6 linked regions of the Kluyveromyces lactis genome follow. The protein of the gene in region 5 interacts with the protein of the main gene of each other region in a pairwise test. Links are inferred from orthologs where the notes say so. Each region holds a gene or a part of one and is shown on either strand. Other genes may lie near its edges.

Region 1 (4,150 bases), on a different chromosome or scaffold from region 5:
CCTAACGATAATGACCCCAGCTGTAACTTATTGAGATAGACACTAATTTTTGCACGTCTTCCATTGTATTATATTACATGCATATATATAGATGTTATAAGCCATTTAATAGAGTTGATGACTAACGATTGAAACATAAGGTCGATGGTTATCTTATTACTATTTACAGATATACAGTATGTTGTTTTCTTTTACCTTTTCTCATGCTCTGTACCAGAGTTCCTTTCTCTTTTTTCTTTCGGCTCTGGCCAATGCTCTCTTAGGATGCCATTGGCTCTTTATCGTCTCAAGAACTTGATTCATTTCTGTCTTTCTTTCCTTGGGTGGTTCAGAAACAATAGAGATGAACAACGGAGAACAGTTGAACTTCTTTGCTAAAGCTTTTCTAGAGTTTTTCACCGGGTCCTCCAGTCTTAGTCTTCTAATCTCAGCGATGTCTTCAGGCTTCAAATGGTAGGTCTTCTCACCCTTCTCATGTAACACTGGCGCTACCCTCGATATCTCTGCGTTACCTTGCGTTAGGTCATCTATAATGTCGTGCCTTGGATCAGTGGCCGGTAAGAAAGATTTTGGAATCGTTTCTGAGTTAGTAGAACCATGGATAGAGGATGGAGCTGGATCGTAATATAGACCTGCTGGAATCTTGGCTTTCAAATAACCTTTGTAATTGGAGGCAGATGATTTTGGATTGTAAATGGTAGCTGGTCCAACGATCTTAGGTAACTTACCTGATTTATCAATTATCTTTGAAAGATCCTTGGCCGCACGGGCGCTGGTCGAAAATAGTCTCACCATACTGTAGCGAATATGTCAAATGTAATTTCTACAGCGTAATTGGGGATTATAAGCCTGGTGTAAGGGTCTAAAACTTGTTATTTAAACTATCAATCACCATGTTTCGCACTGCAGACTCTAAATCTTTCAGTTTGATGCTTTCAAATTTTTCAGATAGAAATCCTGATGAGACAGACAGGATTAGTATGGGAAAACAGTTTATTTCGAGAAATATAGGATTATTCTAGTGGATATACCTACCTGAAGATGCTTCTATATAATATCGATTAGTACTATGAATGAGTGTGAGCTGACCTGTTAAAATAGGGCTTATATTGGCGATATTATGCAGCTTTTAGAAGTGCCAATTTGGACTATTCTGTATCTTTTGTCACGTGAAAGCCGGGTAATCCCAACATCAACATCAAATGTCGTTCCTATTCACAACAGGAAGAGCTGAAAGGCTATGAGATGGGACAAGAATAATGGCATAAACAGTCCTTGTGATACTTCATTAGCAGCTCTGTCTCATCAGGTTTTACGCCAGGTGGTAGGTTTACCAAGCAACAGAATTAGATGAATGCAGAACTTCAAGAATGGATTCAACAGAATACGGAATCAAGAGTGACAGAGAAGTTTGTTGAGACTTTAAGGCAGATTGCACGTATTCATAAGGATGTAAACAAGTTCATCGGGGGTGCTAAGGCTTTGGGGAAATTTAAGGGCAAAGATGAGTTTTTGAAGCAACTTTTTGAAAAATTACAGGCACATAAGCAGTCTCCAAAGCCAGAATCAGCGGCTGTTCCAGCAAGAACCATAAGGAAAAAATTTGTGGTTAAACTTCCGTTGGATGACAAGGAAGACGACGATGAAGATGAGCTTTCTACTGTGAAGGTACAAGTGAAACCAAAATTCAACAAGCCTTTGACTTTGAAACGTATTACGAAGCAAACTGCAGCAAAATTGAATGAGTTTTCAGAAAACACTGAACCAGTGGTCATGGTAAAAAAAGAAGAAGCGACCAAAGGCACACTTATCGATGCAGAAGGTAGTGATGTGGAAGATATAAAGGACGCCAAGGATTTTACTGCACAAGATAGAAATTGGTACGATAATGATGATGATTTTGATAACGTCATTCACGATGATGAATATATACCAGCTCAGCAAGATCCGTACGAAGGCGGCGACAGAGAGCTTGACTTGAATGAACCTGAAATCCAATTAACTTCCTTATCGTTGAATGAGCGTAAAACCATTATTCCTCCGTTTTTACTTGATTTCCATGACCAGTCAGGAGAGCTTGCGATAGTGGGTGCTTTGGATATGTCTTCAAATGCAAATAAGGGAATAGCAGATCCGATAAGAAACCCTGAGAGCGACTTTTCTATTAATGCAAGGAGAGGCAGCAAGCTTGTAGCGATGAGGAGGATTCATAGAGATAGAAAATCTAAATCTCAGAACGCTACCGAGCTAAAAGGTAGCGCCTTAGGTAAAGTTCTAGGAGTAAAACAAGATAGTTCAACTGACGCGCAAACTAAGCAACCTAATCAGCCCATTGCTATAAAAGAAAAAGAGCAGAGCTTTGAAGAAATACAAGCAGTGAGAAGGTCTTTACCCGCTTATAAAGTACGACACGACTTAATGCGCCATATTAGAGATAACCAGATTACTGTGGTTATTGGTGAAACGGGTTCAGGTAAAACAACACAATTAGCACAATTCCTCTACGAAGACGGTTTCACTGCAAATGGTAGAATGATTGGATGTACACAGCCAAGAAGAGTAGCAGCTGTATCGGTTGCTGAAAGAGTTTCCAAAGAAATGGATACCCCAATTGGTGTTAAAGTTGGATACTCAATCAGATTCGAAGATCAGACTTCGGATTCAACAAAAATCAAGTTTATGACCGACGGTATACTCCTTAGGGAGGCAATGATAGATCCGTTGCTTGAGAAATATTCATGTATTATAATGGACGAAGCTCATGAACGATCTTTGAACACCGATGTGCTCCTAGGGATCTTCAAAACATTATTAGCTCGAAGACACGATTTAAAACTTGTCGTGACATCGGCAACAATGAATGCAGATAAGTTCTCCCAATTCTTTGGTAATGCGCCACAATATTTCATACCGGGAAAAACTTTCCCCGTCGAAATCATTTACACTAACCATCCAGTACCTGATTACGTTGAATCTGCTGTTCAAAAAGCTTTAGATATACATTTATCTACACCAATTTCAAATGGAGATATCTTGATATTTATGACTGGTCAAGAAGATATTGAAGCAACTTGTTCTACCATCATCGAACGCTTAACTGAGATCTATACTAAAAAATACGGGGCAAATTATGAGGAGCAATTAGCGGATGTTCAAGTTCTTCCAATTTACTCGTCGTTACCTGCAGATGTACAAGGAAGGATATTTCAAAGACAAGAACAAAACGTTAGAAAGATTGTTGTTGCCACAAATATTGCTGAAACATCATTGACAGTTGACGGTATTAAATATGTCATAGATTGTGGGTACTCCAAATTGAAGGTGTATAATCCGAAAATCGGCCTTGATAGTTTGCGAATCACACCCATCTCACTTGCAAATGCTAATCAACGGTCAGGAAGGGCTGGTCGTACGGGCCCTGGTATCGCATATAGACTTTTCACTCATGATTCAGCGATGGAAGATATGTATCCTCAGGCCATCCCAGAAATTCAAAGGACAAATTTGGCAAATACACTCTTGCAGTTGAAATCGTTGAATATCAACAACTTATCGAAATTCCCTTTCATTGATCCACCGCCATCGCAGAATCTAATGACATCGTTGTACGATCTTTGGGCCTTAGAAGCTTTGGACAACTTCGGTCATCTAACTAAATTAGGCAGACTGATGGGTGCCTTCCCTTTACAGCCCTTTCTTTCCAGGGTACTAATAAGTGCATCACAATATGGCTGTACCGAAGAGATGTTAACGATTGTATCTATGCTTTCGGTTCCGTCTGTCTTCTATAGGCCGAAGGAACGTGAAGAAGAATCTGACCAAGCCAGAAGCCGGTTTTTCATCCCTGAATCAGATCATTTGACCCTACTTAACGTGTATGCTCAATGGAAAGCCAACAGATATTCTGCCCATTGGTGTAATTCACGCTTCTTACAATTCAGATCTCTCCAAAGAGCTAAAGACATTCGAGAACAGTTACTCTATGTGATAAGAAAATTGAATTTACCGATGGCTTCTTCTGGGTCAGACTGGGCTCCAATAAGAAAATGTCTATGCACCGGTTACATCCAACAGACTGCCAAACTATCAGGGTTAGGCAAATATGTTCATTTAAAAACAGGGATGGATCTCAAAGTACATCCAACAAGTG
Region 2 (4,050 bases), on a different chromosome or scaffold from region 5:
CTGCATGACTACCTTTTGAGAACTGAGAAAGCTCTCCTCGCATTGAGCAGAAGACAAATGGATCTCTGAGTGAAAGATTTTGAGTGTCCATGACATAACGAATTGTAATGTCATGCAACGCCTGCTTTAGATCATAATATTCTAGGAGAATAGGAACTGCGTTAGTCATGGATGATTCACTGAACTCGTGAAATTCTTTTTCGAGGTTTTCATTAGAATGGCAACGTTTCAAGTTAAAGAAAAATTGTAGGTCCAACTTATCAATTATATTGAGAAAAGCAGCGGATTCTTTCAAACCATTATATGTTCCCATACTGAGTTCGACTAATTTTCCGCCGTCAACTGAACTTAAAATCGCTGAATTGTCCGTCTTGTAGATATTGCTGATCAGGGATAGCTTGTCCCTAAGAAGATTTAAAGTCGTATGATTTAAGGGGTACCTGGCAGGTTTAGAACCTTTTGACCGTGCACGTAATTTGTTGTGTATTTTTCCTATTGATCCCGAAGAGTTTTGCTTTTCTAAATTGGAGTTGACAGTTCTAGAACTTGAACTACTGTACTGCCTTCCTGAAAACATAAGACTCGAAAGAGACTCTGGAAAAAATGAGGAGCTCGCATTCCCCTGGTCCGATTTGTTGGAAATATCACTCGAATCTTCAGATTTGGAAGCAAATGAAGGATCTGATTTGGTCCACACTATACCCTCAAAGGAGTTTCTTATAAATCTTGGGTATATCTGAACTAATGCATCATCCGGTGAAACAGAATCAATGATAATGTTGTGAAGGTTGTTGACAAGTTTGAAAATATTTGTGAAGTCAGTGTGTATCACATTAAAGAGAGAATTCAAAACAATACCTGTCTCCTCGTCGATGAGCATATTCGATGTTTGAGTTGTATTAGTTGGAATTGACGCTCTTGGGGAATCTGGGCTGATCTGAATAGTTTCTGACGTCATAGTTCCTTGATGTGAGCTATCTAAGCTTGCGTTAGGATTAAAAGAAGTTGTGGTACTAGTACTAACATTTCTTAAATCAGGAAACTCAATATTGTTAGGTAAGACAAAGGCTTCAGAAGTTCTTGTGCCATTATTCAAAGTATCGCGGTTCGAAGTCAGCATGTCTCCATTGAATTTCTTGATGTCGGAGGAGTTCATAACGATTTTGCTACTAGAATTGAAATATACTGAAGCATTTACGTTGATTCTGAAGACGACCTTAATCAACTTTCTCAAAATTTTCCTAATATCCTTTACAACATTCCTTTTGATAAGTTCTTTTCTCGCTAAGTTACAGGCCAACTGATGGTAAAAGATGTAAGTTGACGCTTTCGAAAAGTTCTGATAAAATGATGGTTGGTTTTGTTTGAAGAAATGGTTATGTGAAGCTTTCAAATAATAGATAGTGGAGTTTTTTAACTCCGTCCACGTTTTCATGTCAGAACTTAATGAATAAAACATTCTACTATTCGATTGCGGTAATGGTTTAGGAGCAAGTGGCTGTGAGTTTTTCGGACCTGCTTCTTCATTTTTTTCATTGGATTGCGTAGGATTTGAATGCATACTGGGTGATCGACCTGGAGATGGACAGGGTTGACTTAGGTCTGGTTTTGGACCAGATGGTGTATTTGGTTGCTTTTGAGAAGAGTTTCCACTGATGACAACCATTGGATTAATGGGACTCGCATCATGTAAGTTACGGTGCTGAGAAGAAATGACAGATTCCAGATCCATCACTTGAGTATTAGGCAAAAAGTCTGATTCTAGGCTTCTTGCTTGTAAGTCGACCAGGTTTTCATTAGGCGGGAAAACAGATTTTAAGCTTAGTTCAGGTGTCCTTGATATAGGTAAAGATGTACAATAAATGTTCATTTCTTTATTGAAGTATAATAAATTATTGCTTGTAGTCAAAACCGGGGTCCATACCGGCACAACCTCTTGTCTTGACATGTTATTTAAGAGCATTTCAACTTCTTTAGTAGAAAGAATGTTGATTTCTGACTCATGAAGAGTATGTGGGGACCGTATTGACGATACAGAATGTTTACTGTATGAATGATCTGAGTTACGGGATTCTGAATGAGACCGCGCTTTGGATAAAGATTCAGATGAACGACAGTAAGAGTTTCGAGAACTGCTAGTTGATGCACTTCTTGATTTGGAGGTTGCATTTGGTTTGCTCCTTGAGTGAGAGAAGGATCTGCGATTCATATCGAATTGGTAATCCTGTTTCAAATGCGATGACGGGCTAGAATTATTGACACTACTTGCAGAATTTGAAGGAGACGTCGACAGTAGCGTTTGCCCACTATTTATTGCATTATCATGATTATCGTGGAAAGTAGTCGTACCAAGACTTTTCCTTCTAAAGTTCCCGGTACTCACCAAAGATCCCCTTCTTGACCCAGACGTAGAACGAATATTCATATTCCCAGATGGGCTGCCTATCCTCAAACTGTTCCTCCGTGACCCATGGCTACTAGGCCTATTATTAAAAGCATTGCTGCCATGGTAATTCAGAGGAAATATCTTCCGACTTGAACTGGTATCCTTTATTGATTTAGTATAACTTCTGGGGAACCAGCCCCTCAAAACCAAGCTCTTATTATAATATAAAATACCGTCCCACCAACCTGAGTCACTCTTCGATATAACGTAGATAATATCACCGGCAAAAAACCGTAATTGAGATTTCCTTAGCGGATTAAAGTCATACTGCGCTATCACTATGTCCAAAGGTTTTATAATTGTAGACAATCCAGCTTTTGGAGGATTCATTCCCTCGTCCTGTGGCCTTTCCATTGTCAGTTGTGAAAGCTATAGAATAAAAGCACACTTCACACGCCTCTTTTTAATATATAACTCTTTGACAATAGTACCTAACGTTGTCCTGTGATTGTTTTGATGTATTTCAGTTAGGTTTTGCGCTTTGACTTATCCCTGTGATATAAAAGAGCGATTTGACTAGTTTTTTAAAAGAGTTCATGAAAGTGAAAAATAAAAAAAAAAAAAAAAAATATGAAGAAATATCATTCGTGAAATATCCAAACTGAGTATTCGTTACGTTAAAACGGCAAAAATAGTGATTAGCAGTATACTGAATTTGGTAAGGCAACCCCTTAGCTGTAAAATAAGGGATGTATTGGGTTGTATGGTTTGAGCCGTATTATGTATTGATATCTAGTTCTATAGAGGATTAAACGGTTCTTTTGAGCTTGAATTACGTATTTTGAGTATGCGCCGTTTGGAATTCGACATATAAAAACTAGGGAGAATCCGGGCACAGATCAGAAAGTTACATTGGTTCAATGCGGTAAAGGCTTCACAGAAGATTAATGCATCTTTGTCCTGATATTTGATCAGATTATTAGCTCTATAACCCTTTTACTTGATGCTTTCAGTGGCAGCGAACATATCAGTACACGTGACTTCAGAAAGGATGTTGATGGGATGATAAAAACAGGTTCATGTCTTTACCACTATAATCACTGAGTCCCCTCTAAGAAAGAGTTTCGCTACGAATCGCTCTCTGTTAACCTTCTTACCATTTACATTCTCTGTCCATATTTCTTTAACGTTTTCCAGAACCATGTTACAGTGCTTGTCAAAAGATTTCACACGAGCTATGAGTTTATGATTGTTCCTTAGTGATATTATAACAGGTGTCCTCTGTAGCATTGATTCCCTGATTAGAGACATGGGTCCATATTTCATTTCGAATTCTTCTAGTTGTGTTAGCTCGTCTCTAGATAGTTCAGACCTTGAAAGGTCTGTCTTTGGAATATATGTATCGGCCATCGTGTTTTAGGTCAATTTTCTAGTATATGTAACAGACAAATCCTGAAGATAAGTCCTTGGCTTATGATATTTGCAATCTCGTAAGTTTGTGATAACTTGTCCTGATTGCCATATGATATGAGAGGTTCCTTCTTTGGTCATCTCATCATCTCATCCTGTGCATCAAACCCAATATACCATCCAGTTGTTTTCTTTCGGATTATCCAATTATCATTATCATTATCCGGGTAATCTTACACTATATAAATATCAAC
Region 3 (3,944 bases), on a different chromosome or scaffold from region 5:
TTGAACATTAGAAGTAATTAGAAAAATAACTGATTTGATTTCGATTATTCTACAATTGGTTTTTCAGAACATAGGTGGACTCGCCAACAATTTGGCGTGATGTTCTGAAAAGCTTCTTAGAAAATGTTGCATATGTTACTCCTCAATTAACTGGGGATACAAAGATTCATTTATAAATATGTGGCATAGTTTCAGTGAGCCATTCGTATTTATCAAATGTTATACAATCTCTAATGAATTCTTTACTTGTAAGCATCAAAGATTGATAGAGGATGTATTTCATTGGTTTTCCTTCTTGTTTCATTCGGTTGAAAATAACACTAGATGGGTGAACGCTGACGGATAAATCTTGCTTTATGTTAGTATAGCCTTGTTTAGAGAGCTTTGCTATATTTGTTGGAAATCCTGATATAAAGCATTTAATGATTTTTGCTTCAATGACGGAACGAGGCATGTTTTCTTTGAGTTGAGTAAGGTTTTGGTCATGCTTAAGCAGAAAATCTTGTTTCCTACAATATTTCCATAATTGTTGTCGTATCCTCAATACTCGTTTCATTGTTTTATGTTGCAACTTGAAATCTTGACACCATCTTCGTGAGTATCCATTCTCTTCCCATTGTTCATATATCCACAAGTATAGCATGTGGTCACTTGACTGCATCAATGACCCAAAAAGTTTTGTCTTTTCTTCCGAATTGAGTCCCGGTACAAATATAGAGTTGCTCTCTTGAAGCATAGAGACAATCGTAACAATTTCAGGTAGAACACCATTACAGCTTTCTTCAAACACGCTAGAATATATTACCTTGGCATATTCAGGATCACATGGGAAATCACACATAACTTGTCCTACTTTTGTGATTGCACCTCTGCTATTGAGAGCGCCAATGGCATACAAATTTTCGAGGGCTTCGCTTAGCTGGATAGTTTTTGGTTTGTCCAACATTGGAAAGTGAAGTAAGTCGTTGATACCTAGTGAAAGCAAAAGTAGAACCACTTGATTCAATTTTGTTCTCAAAATCTCTGGCTTTGGTACTTTTTCAAGCTCATTGTAGTAAGACCATTTTGTAAATAATCTAAAACATTTGCCTGGACCCAATCTCCCTGCTCTCCCTGCTCTCTGGTCAACAGATGCCCTAGAACATGGAACTGTCACTAGCTTTGAAACTCCTCCTGAATAGGATTGTTCCTTCACAAAACCTGGATCTACCACGAACTTTATGCCGTCAATTGTTAACGATGTCTCTGCAATATTTGTCGCAAGCACTACTTTTCTGCAGTTCTTCGGTGTAGGTTCAAAAATTTTGGATTGTTGTTCTTGAGGAAGATTGGCATATATAGGTACTACCAAGAGATCTGGAAATTTTGTATTATCAAGCTTGGAAAGAATCTCAAGTAATTTTGTTTGCATCGATTCTATTTCCTCTTGACCAGTTAGAAATACCAAAATATCACCTGGTAATTTTTGGGTGGTATGAATTTGAAAGATGGTGGTGATCGCAGCATTTATATAGTTTCCTTCTGGTTGAAGTGTATAGTGAATATCCACAGGAAAGCGTCTACCAGGAACATTAAATATCGGACAATCAAAGAAGAACTTGGAGAATTTAGTAGCATTCATAGTTGCACTAGAAATTATAAGTCGAAGATCTTTTCTGTCTTGTAAAATACCCCTTAGCAACCCCAACAAAATATCTGTAGATAACGTGCGCTCGTGAGCCTCGTCAATCATTATTGCACTATACGATGATAGTTGTGGGTCATTAAGAAATTCTCGAAGTAACATCCCATCTGTCGTATATTTTAAGATTGTTTTATCAGGCGTTGTTCGGTCATCAAATCTGATATTATAACCGACTTCTTTCCCCAATATTACATCCATTTCATCAGCAACTCTTGAAGCAATACTAGTTGCAGCAACTCTACGTGGTTGTGTGCAAACCACGCATTTTCCATCGTTGGTGTAACCATCCTCCACAAGGAACTGTGGAAGTTGGGTGGTTTTCCCAGACCCCGTTTCACCAACAACAATCAAAATTTGATGTTGCCGAATACTATCCAAAATTTCTTGTCTATATTGATAAACTGGCAATGACTTCCTCGTTTCTTTAATACTCTTCATCTTGTTAATTTGTTCTTCTAACGCTTCAGCCAATCTACCGTCTTCAACAGGTTCTAAAATATCTGTCGTATCATCAGTAAAATCAATCATGGACTCAGGATCAAAAACAAATTCGTAATTATCTGAATCCTTAACTTTGATTTCATCTGCATCTGCCTTAATTACACTTTTCTTCATTTGCTCCTCTTCCCAGTTCACCCTATCGGTTTTGTTTCGAAGTTTGGCGGTCAATAGTTGTTTCTTTGATGCGACCTCATCTTGCATTTTGAATCCACTTGTATCTCCATTTTCAGCATAGTCTTTTCCAGTTTCATTTAAGAGCTTCAATAGCTCTCTTTTCAGCGATATCTCTTCTCGTTCACTAACAGTTAAGTTATTCCAACCATAACGTTTTATGTCATCTTCTAAAATCTGAAGATCTTTAACCAGCCAGTGCAACTGAGAACGCTGTCTCTTAGTCAAAACTTTTTGCTCAACCATTGACTTAATCGAGTTAACCGAATAATGAGCCTTACCATCCTTCAATGAAGGGTCCGGGCTACTGTCCAAAACTTGATCTGCAGGTGAGAATGAGTTAGTATTTGCATTTACCGATTCTATGCTTTCATAAGTTCTCTTCGCTCTGCGCTGTCCTGATCCCGTAAGTTTAGTACCATTTTCATCACCTGAGGTTCCCATAGTATGAACTGCGATTCGGTATGCTGCGAGAGCGTTCTACCTGATTTCGTAGCGCTTATTTCTTCTTCTTCCCTCACCTTTAGTTTCTAATCGTGAAAGGTACATCGAGTGGCTTTCTTGCAATATCAAATGTTGAAAACTATGCCAAATGACTGATAGAAACCTTCCAGATAAACATTATCTGAATCAGAAAACAGACATAGACAGTTCCAGGCATAGGACATTTAGTGTTCATAAAACGCTTGCAAGGCGTCCAGAATGAACTCTTCTGGCTATATACCACCTTGGACAACACCGTATGTTATTGGTATTGGAGGGAGTTCAGGTTCTGGAAAGACGAGTGTTGCTACCAAACTCGTGACAAGAATCAACACTCCATGGACAGTATTAATATCGTTGGACAATTTCTATAAACCGTTAACCGTCGAAGAACGAAAGCAGGCTTTCGAAAATAACTACGATTTCGATAAACCGGATTCAATAGATTTGGATCTAGCTTATCAATGTATCCTGTCTTTGAAAGAAGGTAAGAAGGTGAAAATCCCAACCTATTCGTTCACAGATCATGATAGAATTCCAAATAAGTTTTTAACCATCTATGGTGCGAGTGTTATTGTTATTGAAGGAATTTACGCATTATATGACCAAAGACTTCTTGATTTAATGGATTTGAAGGTTTACGTGGATGCAGATTTAGATATATGTTTAGCTAGAAGATTGACAAGGGATATCATCTCTCGTGGGAGAGACTTGCATGGTTGCATAAGACAATGGGAGAAGTTTGTTAAACCAAATGCGGATAGGTTCGTGAAACCAACCATGAAGGCAGCAGATGCAATCATCCCATCCATGTCAGATAACAGCATTGCGACTGAGATGTTACTTAATCACATTCAGTCTAAATTGCAGCTCAAATCGCAGCAGCATTTAGCAGAACTTCAAAAGCTCGAGTCATACGCTGTGTCGATTGATTCTTTAAATATAATTCATAAGTTGAGACAAACTAATCAGGTGAAGGCTCTACAGACTATATTGTTAGACAAAAGCGTTTCAAGAGATGACTGGGTATTCTATTTTGACAGGTTAGCAACAATACTTTTATCCTTTGCATTGGACGATATACCTACGAAATTGAAAACGACTA
Region 4 (3,977 bases), on a different chromosome or scaffold from region 5:
ATACAAATCGTTTTTGTTGCAACTTCTTGAATAGATCTTGATCAATGTATTTCTTTAATGATGGCCCGTCTTGAGTCATGTGACCACTTTCAGATAAACCCTTGCGACGTCTTGTCTTCATCACAAAGTCCCTGCTTAGGCTTGCAGCAGGCGCTGGTTTCAACTTCGGTATGAAGGCTTCTTCGTCAAGTACGTCACCTGGCACTTTTCTCCATATTTTATTCCAAAAGTGCATTTGACACATTCCGCTACCGGCGGTCGCAACACGAAGATCTGTCTCAAATCCAATCGACTCGATGACAGGTAATTGAGCCTTTATTTCTATGAATGGTGATGCCACTATCTTTTCTGTCTTGTAAATTCTTCCACCTCTGCGTCTCTTCAATAAATTCTGAATCACAGACTCCAATACCCCCGATACGATAATATCGACTTCATAGATGGGTTCCATGATAATTGGAGTAGCAGACATTAGCGCAATGTAACATGCCTTTCTCGTCATTGGCACTAGTTGAGATGGGATGATATCTTCGATGCTGTCTTCTTGTACCTTGAATTGCAAGAGTTTAAATTGGCATGCATGGATTGTTTCATCAGCCAATGGTCCTTCTTTCACAGCCCATTCAAACCCTTGTAAAATGTTTTCTTTATATTTCTTGAGTAGTTGCTTATCCGTTTCATCAGGTAGAGTATCGTCAATGAATACATTACATTTTGATAAATCCCAGCAGTTTCTAGCTGCCAATGAGTCCCATCCATACTCGGTTCTTAGACGTTTGGAGAACTTTCTCATGTTATTCAATTCTGAACTGTCGATTTCACCATGCGTCAAATCGTGTACTATCTTTCCATCTAATTTTTCGGCCATAACGCTGAGTGATACTACACCGTTGTTTGACTTTACAGGAATTGACGCGAACGATTCGTTCTGACAACTTTCCGTGAATTGCACAAGCGGTTGGCTTACTTTGATCTCAATTTCACAGAATTTTTTCCGTAATTCGTCCATCACGCAATCAAGGTAAAGTTCTCCTGTTCCAATTATGATGTTTTCGCCGCTTTCTTCAACTCTAACCACTAATGCAGGGTACAATTCGTTTGCTTGTTGAAGACCGTTCAATAGTCTCGGTAGTTCACTTGGTTTCTGAGGCTGTATGGCGAATTTGAACACCGATTCGTTGAGATAGTTAATTGGTGCTAGCGGGTTCATCAAGCTCGAAGACAAAGTTGCATATTTCGTATACTGATCTTCAAAACCTTTTAAAAGTACAATCTGTCCTTTTATTGCTTCCTCGAGTTCGTAGACATACCTACCTCCCATTAAGGCTACACGCTCAATAGTAACCTTGGAGTATTCATCATCACCAAAATCTACTACAGAGTCTACGGACTCATTGAAAATATAGAGTTTGTTGCCTTTTTTCACTGAGCCCTCTATTATCCGACAAAGGGACCACTTGGAACCTTCCAGGCTCATGTGTCTCAATACATGTACAACAGTGCTTTCATCGGATGATAAGTTGTTGATTTTGTGGTCCTGTGTTGAAACAATAGCATCGATGAAGCAGTGATAGTGCGGTAGTATAGCATGAAACACGCTAAAAAGTAGCGGCTGAGGATCCTTTGATAGAATCTCATCTGAAAGCCTGATTTGAAAATTGGTTTCGATGACTGTTCTTAGTTCTTCCTCGGATGCAGATAATGTATGAGTGAAAACCTTGTATAAAGGTTGTAAAATAAACTGAATGAATGCAATGTTGTCCGTAATAAATTCTGTTTGGTAGAATGCTCCTTCTCTGTAATTAATTTGACCCCAAAGTTGAGCAGCAAATTGTTCTGTCTTATCCTTTAACGATTTAGCGTAAAATGAGTTCACAAAAGACTCCACAGAGAATAAGAATCCAAACTTGGTACTGGCAAAGAGTACATTACCTAGCTCCGGTGAGAATCTTTCTTTGGTATATGTGTTTATTTCGTTCACGATATATTGTAGTTTGCTGTATGCGTCTGTAGGAGGAAGTCTCAAATCCAAAATTAATCTATCAATTTTGTTAAGAACGATGATAAAGGGGATCCCATTACTTATCAATTCTCTTATCAGTTTGGAAACTACAGAAGTAATTCCTTCTATCACATCAACGATGATTACACCATATTGGCAAGCAGTCAAAGCAATACCGACATCGTCCCAAAAATTTACATGTCCAGGTGTGTCCAACATCGTCACTGCATACGTACGTCCTCTTGACGATTCATATGCAAACGACATACCATTCAATCTAAGCGAAATACCACGTTCCTTTTCTATCCTCGCTTGGTCGAGGTACCTAAACGGTACCCATCCCTCCTTAACTTTTTTTGTCAAGGACGGAAGATTGCGATGAGTATCTAACGCAAACATATCCGTGAAAGAAGTCTTACCACAATGTAGCGCCCCGAAAATTCCAACATTTAACTGACGTTCTGGTATCGAGAAAAGGCTTTTCAAGTACCCTCTGTCAAATAGTGCTTTAGGTACTTTCCTGTTAACAGCTTCGCTATATGATTTCGAATCGTCCCCAATCAATGGTTTCTCAGGTTCTCTATCTTCCACTTCCAACAAAACTTCAACATCATCATCGAAATCACGGTTCACATCTCGAAGTACCACATCGGTAGAGTCAGCCTCGACTATCTTTTGCCGTAATTCATGTTGAGCTTCCTGCTCTCCTACTTCTTCCAAACTATCATCATCAGAATCGATTAATTGCATTGGATCCCCAATGAAATTACCGAACTCATCGTACAAATCTTCATCCATTATTGTATTTCCTTCCAAAAGTACTCAGTGCTGAGTCACGTCACCCAAATCGCAGTAGTCTTCCCTAAGAGCAATGCATGTGCTTATCATTCTATCTTCATTACTCGAAGCTTTGACTTTCGTCAACATTTACATAATGTCTAAGAACTGAAAATATCGATGAGCCCTCGAAAAGACAGACATTTTGCCAAGACGGATGCCGAAAGGGTTCTAGGAAATAAAAAGGGTGAGCTTACCAAGGGGTCACACAGAGCCGAACTGCATTTTGAAATGCCTGAATACATCTGGCTTTCTAATCTTAACGGGAACATACACATTCCCGAGCGATTGTTGTCTTTATTGAACGAGGAAGACCAGGATATTCCCGATGAGGTTAAAGAGTTTACATATGTACAGCAACTTGACAAGAATTTACTTTCGCGGACTTCTGTTATTGGTCTAGGGTTTGGGTTGATGAGTCCCGTACTTGGTATGAGCACTACTATGAGTATTGGATTGCTAAATGGTGGATCTCCATCGATAATATTTGGGTATCTGATATGTGGGATAATGACGTGGATTAGTTCACTGTCGCTCAGTGAGATAGTCTCGAAGTACCCCATAGAACTTCACGGTGCAGCGGCCATGCTTGCGCCTGGCAGACTTCGGTTGCGTATGTCTTGGTACTGTGGTTGGCTAATGTTGTTTGGAAGTTGGACGATGAGCACTAGTATTACGTTTGCGGGTGCACAATTGATTATTTCTTTGCTGACAATGACTAATGAATCTCTGATAGACTCCCGGTGGTTGACGTTATGGACTGTGCTAATGTTTTATCTCATTGTGACTGTGGTTGGAGTCATTAATCTAAAATTTTCAAGTTTCATTGAAACTATCAATAAGGTCTGTGTTTACTGGATCTTATATGCGATATTATTCACAAGTACACTTCTCCTATTATTCCAACCAAACCATAGATCATTCAAGGATGTCTTTACCAAATTCGATAATAGTTTGTCGGGGTATAGTTCTATGGCCTTGTCATTTTTAATTGGAGGGTTTCAGCAATCTAATTTCACTTTCCAAGGGTTTGCGATGTTATCGGCATTATCTGACGAAACTGAGAAACCAGAGAAAGATATTCCTTACAGTATGACACGCTCTGTGATAATCTCACTAGTTTCCGGACTATTTTTCT
Region 5 (4,150 bases):
CCTATTTATCAGTACGGATGAAGCAATCACCTCATTTATACAACTTGCAAGGTTCTTCAGGAGACATGAGTGATGCTGAGCTCATAAGAGTCAACAGAAATATTGTGCATACGGCGTTGAATTTATTACAGAATAACGGTCTTGTAAACTATGACTCTCTTTCTAAGTCGGTACAACCAACTGAGCTAGGTAGAATATCCTCTCATTTCTACATAAGTTATTCGTCAATTGCAAAATACAACCGGGAGTTAACAATAAACAGCACTTTGATCGACATTCTGAGAATATTTGCTATGTCAGAAGAGTTTAAGAACATTACCGTAAGACAAGAAGAGAAAACTGAATTAGAGAAACTCGTCGAGCGTTGTCCAATTCCGATCAAGGAGAAGGCTACTGATTCATTAGCCAAGGCAAACATTCTACTTCAGGTGTACATTTCAAAATTACGATTGGAGGGGTTCGCTTTAAATGCGGATATGATTTACATTTCTCAGAGCGCAGGTAGACTTTTCAGAGCACTCTTCGAAATGTGCTTAAGAAAAGGATGGCCAAGACTAACCAAGCTTCTGCTTACCATCTGTAAATGCGTCGATAGCAGAATGTGGCCCACGAACTCACCATTTAGGCAATTCAAGAGATGCCCTCAAGAAATCATAAGACGAGCAGAAGCGTCTGGTTTACCCTGGAACGATTTCTTACTGTTGAAGAATGCTCATGAGGTAGGCGAAGCCTTAAGATCTCCAAAAAATGGTAAAGTTGCTTTCGATTTGCTTCAAAGATTCCCGAAGATTGGCATTCACTGCGCAATGCAGCCAGTTACAAATTCACTACTTCGTTTTGAGTTGGAACTCCAACCTACATGGATCTGGGATCTGGATTCCAGCAGCTATTCTGAAACATTCCTTGTTCTTGTCGAAGACACAGACGGTGAACAAACAATTTATCATGAGACATTGCATGTTGGGAGAAATGCAATAAACAGCATTGTGTATCTTGACTTTGTTGTATTTTTGAAGCAGAAAATGTTACCGCCGAACTATTTTGTATCCGTTATATCAGAAAAATGGCTAAACTGTGAGTACAAGATTCCTGTTATTTTGAGTGAAATAAAATTACCTAAACCATTCCCTCCTGCAATATCTGTTTCTGATTCAATTAAGAAAAGTACCAAGGAACTACAAATTGATGAATTTGAGGCGTTATACAATTTCCATTCTTTCAATAAAGTTCAAACTGAAGTTTTCGATACATTATACCATGAAACTGAAAACGCACTAATATGTGCAACAAAAGGTTCCGGTAAAACAATAATGGCAGAACTTTCATTATTGAACCATTGGAGAGAAGGCAGAGGACGTGCGATTTACATTTGTCCATTCAAAACCAAGATAACTGAACTTCTAAAGAATTGGAAAAAGCGATTCTCACATTTGGCTGGTGGAAAACTGATCAATGCTTTTTCTGGAAATTTGCAGCACGATCAAAAACAATTAGCCCAATCTCATCTAATATTAGCTACTCCGAATGAATTTGAATACCTGTCTCGTCGCTGGCCGGAAAGAAAAAACATTCAAAGAATAGAACTAATTATTTGTGATGACATCCATGAAATAGGCAACGAGATAATTGGACCGATGTATGAAATCATAATTACGAGAATGATTTTCATTGCAACACAATTGGAGAAGAATATAAGGATTGTGGGGCTTGGAACCCCACTTGCCAACGCAAAGGATTTCGGAGAATGGTTAGGTGCAAAAAAATCAAGTATTTTCAATTTTACTGCTTTAGAAAGGCAAACACCCTTGACAGTCGATATCGAAACTAGCATTTTAGTAAAAAGCCCTACTTCTAATCGAATGGCCCTAACTGAGATCGTTGAAAGTAGTAATCGTGTCGCCTCACCCGATGAAACTATAACAGTTTTCGTCACTGACAGATATGAATGCGTTTCTTTCGCGACAGAACTCGTTGGTCTCGCTGTTGCTAAAGGCATTGATCTTCTTAGAGCAGAGGAATCCAGTTTACACTCGTATCTCAACAAGGTCCAGGACAGCAACCTCAAGACACTGTTGCAAAGTGGTATAGGAATTCTATACCAAGGTATGCATTATTCCGATAGGAATGTAGTCCGTAAGCTCCATGAATACAAGGTGATATCGATTTTGGTTGCAAGTAGGGATTGTTGTTTTGATGCCCCTTCATCAAGTTTTGTCTTTGTTACTACAACTCAATATTTTGAAGGCAGGGAGAACAGATACATCGATTATCCTGTAAATACTATTCTTGAGATGATGGGAACAGCGTTTACGGCGTCAAATAAACAGCAAGCACATGCAAAACTAATCACCACAATGCAAAGGAAGGAATACTATAAAAAATTCCTTTGTGATGGGTTACCAACGGAGAGTTCTCTGCCATACCATGTTATTGATTTACTTACAACGGAGTTTGCAAACCAAACATTAGAAACCAAGCAAGACTGTATCGACCTTTTAACTTACACTTATCTATATCGTAGAATACATGCAAATCCAAGTTTCTACGGTATTCAAGATGTGACTGCAGACGAAATTTCCTCCTATTTAACAGAATTAGTAGAGGAAGCAGTAACAACCATGAAGGAAACCGAGCTTATATCAGTTGAAGGGGAAGCGAACGATTCCACAGAAATTGCAGAGGAGGTAATTTCCCCGAATAATGCCTGTCTTATTTCTGCTATCCATGCCGTAAGTTGTTTAACGATATGCAATTTTAGCCGAGCAGCATCAAGATCACTAAGAATGAGCGGTATTCTTGAAATTTTGTCTTCAAGTGAAGAGTTTAAGACATTGCCTCTTAGATTACATGATATAAAGCCATTAAGAAAATTATACGACATTTCACCTTTGAAGTTGTCCTCCGAATTCGATCCACGCTCCACAACAGCCAAGGTTTTTGTGTTATTGCAGGCCCATTTTTCAGGTCTTCATTTACCCATGGACTTATCACTTGATTTGTCTGAAATCCTTTCAAAAGCACCTAGCTTAGCAGGAACAATGGTAGATATATTGTCAATGAACGGTTATTTGAATGCCACTACTGCTATGGATTTAAGTCAAATGATTGTTCAAGGTGTGTGGGATACTGATTCACCTTTGAAACAAATTCCATTCTTTGATACAGACATCTTGGAGAAATGCAAAAACCATAATGTAGAAACAGTTTATGACGTGATGGCTTTAGAGGATGAAGAAAGAGAAGATATCATCACTTTACCGGAAAATAAGTTGAATAAAGTCGCAGAATTTGTCAACAGTTATCCAAACATTGAGTTGAAGTATGCTCTAGATATGTCAGCACCGATGAAACCTCACGACAAAAAAATGGTTACTGTAACAGTAAGTAGAGATGAAGAACCAGAAACACTAAATGTTAGCTCAAAGTCGTTGCCACATGAAAAAACTGAAGCATGGTGGATATTCATCGGTGAAAAGAGCTCCAGGCAGCTATATGCTATCAGGAAGATCGCGCTTACAAAAATGACCCAGGACTACGAATTGGAAATCGAATTGGAAGATCCTGGTGATCATGAACTAACAATATGGTGTGTATGTGATTCTTACTTGGATGCCGATAAGGAAGTAACATTTAATGTTAACATCGCATAGTAAATGCATAAATAAAAAGAAAGTACTGTATATATGCAGTGAATATAAATTAAAATAAAATTCTTTCTATAAGCAGAGTAGAATCCCTTTATCTAATCCTTCATTTCAATGTCCCCGTCATTATCCTTGACTTCTGTCACATCCGAATCAACAAACCCGTTATGTTGCTTTTTCTTAACACTTTCTTGGTGCGCCAGTAACTGTGCATGACTCCACACAGATACACCTTCTTGATCTTTTGGATCAGTTGGTTGTGCCATGGTTCGCAAAAATTGCTTAGTATTGGCGATAGCCATATCCGTGGACAAGTTCATGTCGGCATCAGATAAACCTTGTGCAATCCATTTTGGTAGTTGACTTTTCTTCCTTGCAAATCTACGGTCTGCCAACACCATTACACCGTAGTCATCTTTACCACGTAAAACTCTACCTAAGCATTGAGCTGCATGTCTCATTGCATCAAAAGATAAAAAGTCATTCTCTCGGATCTGGTAATTCTC
Region 6 (2,639 bases), about 880 kb from region 5:
TTGAGAACAGATGACTCTACTGTGCCAGCAGCTGCAACTTCAAGCTCGAAGCAAACCGCTCCTGTGCTAACACCAGCTCCAGTTCCATCTGGTTCAAACCCATGGGGTATATCTCAAGCACCCACACCAGTTTCTACTATTTTCAACAAGACTTCTACTTCTACCACTTTCCCTACGTTGTCAAGCTCCTTGGGGGAAACTCTGAACAGTCCAGGTCCAGGCACTCCTACGACCACTGGATCTGCCCCAACAGCAAACTCTTCTTCTAACGTAAGTTCGAAGAAGAAGGGCGAAAAGACATACGAGGATCCTTACGATCCAATGGCAACATGTGTTAAGTTCCTAGATCAAACTTTTAAGTTTTTATCAGATATTCCTGAAAGAAGCTACACATTCAACTCCAACTTATTGGATGACGAAACATATCAAAGTTACCCATCACTTTTTTCATTTGAGAAGATTGGATGTAGTGAGCAATCTGAAGGTGTCTTGGGTGCCAAACTATGTGATTTGCTTACTATAAAACCTGTGGACCACATGTCCTCTCTTCTGCCATTCATTCAAAACAAGGCTACACCTACCATGTTACCACCGGGAATTGCTGTCCAGCAACCACAATTAGTACAACAGCAGAAGCAGCAGCTACAGCAACAGCAATTACAGCAACAGCAACAACAGCTTTCACTGCAAATGCAACTACAAGCCCAACAAGGCATGGCGCAGCAAGGCATGGCGCAGCAAGTTATGAGCCAGCCACAAAGCAATTCTTCCGATCTACTAAATCAATTAATTCACGGTAAGAAACAGACTGCTGCCGTATAATCAGTACTCAGTATGATTCCAATAATATTTCTTTTACGAAGTTAGCATATAAATAAATATATATATTCATGTACATTCATTTATTTTTCAATATAAACCGTTCCAGGTTGTTAGATAAACAACTGTTTCAATTTCATTTTTCCAAATCAGACCTTGTAATCTACTGTCTTTCTGGGTTCTTCTTTCTGTCAAAGGCATTCACATTAAAATACATATTTTGACACACTCTTTTTAAGGTTTTTCCATCAATTATGTGAAAATTGTAACATTTAACATCTAAATAGTAAAGATGCGCCAAAAATATGGAATATAATTACATACACTTTACCTCAGCGCATACACCTTAACCTCGATACTGCGGTAAGCGCATCAATAAAGATAATATTGGCACATATCCATTCCAATTAATAGATGAAACCACAAACGAGGAAATACAACAGGCATAATGGCTTTCACACTTTGACCAAACTTCCGTCTTCAGTATCAAAGTTATTTACACAAGGTCCACCATTACCACCATCGAGAGTGAGAGTAAGGCGAAACCAGAACAAGAAATATGCACTCACTGGTGTATCAGCCGTGTTGCAACATGTTTCAGAGTATAAGAAGGCAACCCATCCCGTATCAGAGAACCAACACTTGAAAGTATATGATGAAGCCATGAACGAATCGCACAAAGAACAGGAGGAGTTGATGAAGAAAATACAAGAGTGGCACCCTGAATCAGATGCAAACATTTCTAGTGACCCCTACCGCACATTATTTGTCGGACGGTTACACTATGCCGTAGACGAAGTTGAACTACAGAAGAGTTTCGTCAAATACGGCGACATTGAATCGTGCAGAATAGTAAGAGACCAAGACGGTAAGAGCCGAGGATACGGTTTTGTGCAGTTTACCAGTTATGAAGACTCCAAACAGTGTTTCAGAGAGCTTGGTGTAAGGAAGGGAATAGAAATCATGGGCCGAACATCCATCGTTGATATAGAAAGAGGCAGAACGGTGAAATTCTTCAAACCTCGACGTCTAGGTGGAGGATTAGGAGGACGAGGTTACCAAAGGAAAGATCTCGTAAATAAATTAACTGGTGCTTCAACAAGACCGATGCATGAACATGCTAGAAGACCCATCAGAAGACACGATACCTTCGAAAGAAGAGGTCCTCCACAAGGGCATTCCCATTCTTATCAACCAACTAGTCCAATATCCTCACCTGCATCAAATTTCCAAAAAACTGCAAGTTCTAGCTACCGATCAAGGAGGGACAGATCTCGCAATGATACTTCCAATGGTTCTACAGACACATTGATGTATTGAGATGAGATAAAAAGACACATCAAATAGCACGTGATCAGAACTGCTGCAGTGATCTATATACATTTTCATATATATTCATATAAGTAGCCATACAGATGAGCCATGGCTAAATGTTATATGTACTTCCTACCATTTCTACCTCTGTTCTCATATCTACGCAGTTCTCCTACATTGTGCCCACTGGCCAAGCATAACTGAACCACTACCTCTGTATGCATGAGTAATTTCTTGATCGATGACTGATTCCAAAATAACGATGGAAAAAATTATTCCAGTCAAACAAAAAAAAAAAAAAAAATGGCAACTCAGCGAATCGCACATATAAAGAAAACCGTTTTCAGTTTCCCATTCGCTAAGTATTTCCATTAGGTATCTAAAGTATGAGTTAACTCGTAAAGTACTGAACAGCATTATTGTCTAATCGAAGTTAAGACCAGCTCTATCCATCTGCAGGACAAATTAAAGGGTTTGCAGGAAAGTGTTGATACCTGCCTTTTCAG

The links.
Region 1: the proteins of BRR2 (region 5) and PRP16 interact in a two-hybrid assay, tested with the Saccharomyces cerevisiae proteins (2 studies listed by BioGRID). The link is inferred for Kluyveromyces lactis from reciprocal best matches to the Saccharomyces cerevisiae genes BRR2 and PRP16.
Region 2: the proteins of BRR2 (region 5) and CDC25 interact in a two-hybrid assay, tested with the Saccharomyces cerevisiae proteins (2 studies listed by BioGRID). The link is inferred for Kluyveromyces lactis from reciprocal best matches to the Saccharomyces cerevisiae genes BRR2 and CDC25.
Region 3: the proteins of BRR2 (region 5) and PRP2 interact in a two-hybrid assay, tested with the Saccharomyces cerevisiae proteins (2 studies listed by BioGRID). The link is inferred for Kluyveromyces lactis from reciprocal best matches to the Saccharomyces cerevisiae genes BRR2 and PRP2.
Region 4: the proteins of BRR2 (region 5) and SNU114 interact in binary tests that used the Saccharomyces cerevisiae proteins (3 or more experiments, as listed by UniProt). The link is inferred for Kluyveromyces lactis from reciprocal best matches to the Saccharomyces cerevisiae genes BRR2 and SNU114.
Region 6: the proteins of BRR2 (region 5) and SNP1 interact in a two-hybrid assay, tested with the Saccharomyces cerevisiae proteins (2 studies listed by BioGRID). The link is inferred for Kluyveromyces lactis from reciprocal best matches to the Saccharomyces cerevisiae genes BRR2 and SNP1.

Annotation. Positions count from the first base shown.
Region 1 is NC_006037.1:689,251-693,400, reverse strand, and holds the start of PRP16 (DEAH-box RNA helicase PRP16), read left to right. Parts: upstream 1-1,350; coding exon 1,351-4,150. Other genes in the region: MRPL20 (mitochondrial 54S ribosomal protein mL58), read right to left, coding at 202-795.
Region 2 is NC_006040.1:782,602-786,651, reverse strand, and holds the start of CDC25 (Ras family guanine nucleotide exchange factor CDC25), read right to left. Parts: upstream 2,801-4,050; coding exon 1-2,800. Other genes in the region: mRNA splicing protein SMD2, read right to left, coding at 3,464-3,796. UniProt on the Saccharomyces cerevisiae protein: Promotes the exchange of Ras-bound GDP by GTP. This protein positively controls the level of cellular cAMP at start, the stage at which the yeast cell division cycle is triggered.
Region 3 is NC_006042.1:601,845-605,788, reverse strand, and holds PRP2 (DEAH-box RNA-dependent ATPase PRP2), read right to left. Parts: upstream 2,801-3,944; coding exon 167-2,800; downstream 1-166. Other genes in the region: uridine kinase URK1, read left to right, coding at 3,059-3,944. UniProt on the Saccharomyces cerevisiae protein: Involved in pre-mRNA splicing. Is required together with ATP and at least one other factor, for the first cleavage-ligation reaction.
Region 4 is NC_006037.1:603,834-607,810, reverse strand, and holds the start of SNU114 (U5 snRNP GTPase SNU114), read right to left. Parts: upstream 2,801-3,977; coding exon 1-2,800. Other genes in the region: TPO5 (Tpo5p), read left to right, coding at 2,960-3,977. UniProt on the Saccharomyces cerevisiae protein: Component of the U5 snRNP complex required for pre-mRNA splicing. Binds GTP.
Region 5 is NC_006039.1:1,579,252-1,583,401, reverse strand, and holds the end of BRR2 (ATP-dependent RNA helicase BRR2), read left to right. Parts: coding exon 1-3,650; downstream 3,651-4,150. Other genes in the region: TFIIH/NER complex ATP-dependent 5'-3' DNA helicase subunit RAD3, read right to left, coding at 3,743-4,150.
Region 6 is NC_006039.1:703,699-706,337, reverse strand, and holds SNP1 (U1 snRNP complex subunit SNP1), read left to right. Parts: upstream 1-1,233; coding exon 1,234-2,139; downstream 2,140-2,639. Other genes in the region: CCR4-NOT core ubiquitin-protein ligase subunit MOT2, read left to right, coding at 1-822. UniProt on the Saccharomyces cerevisiae protein: Involved in nuclear mRNA splicing.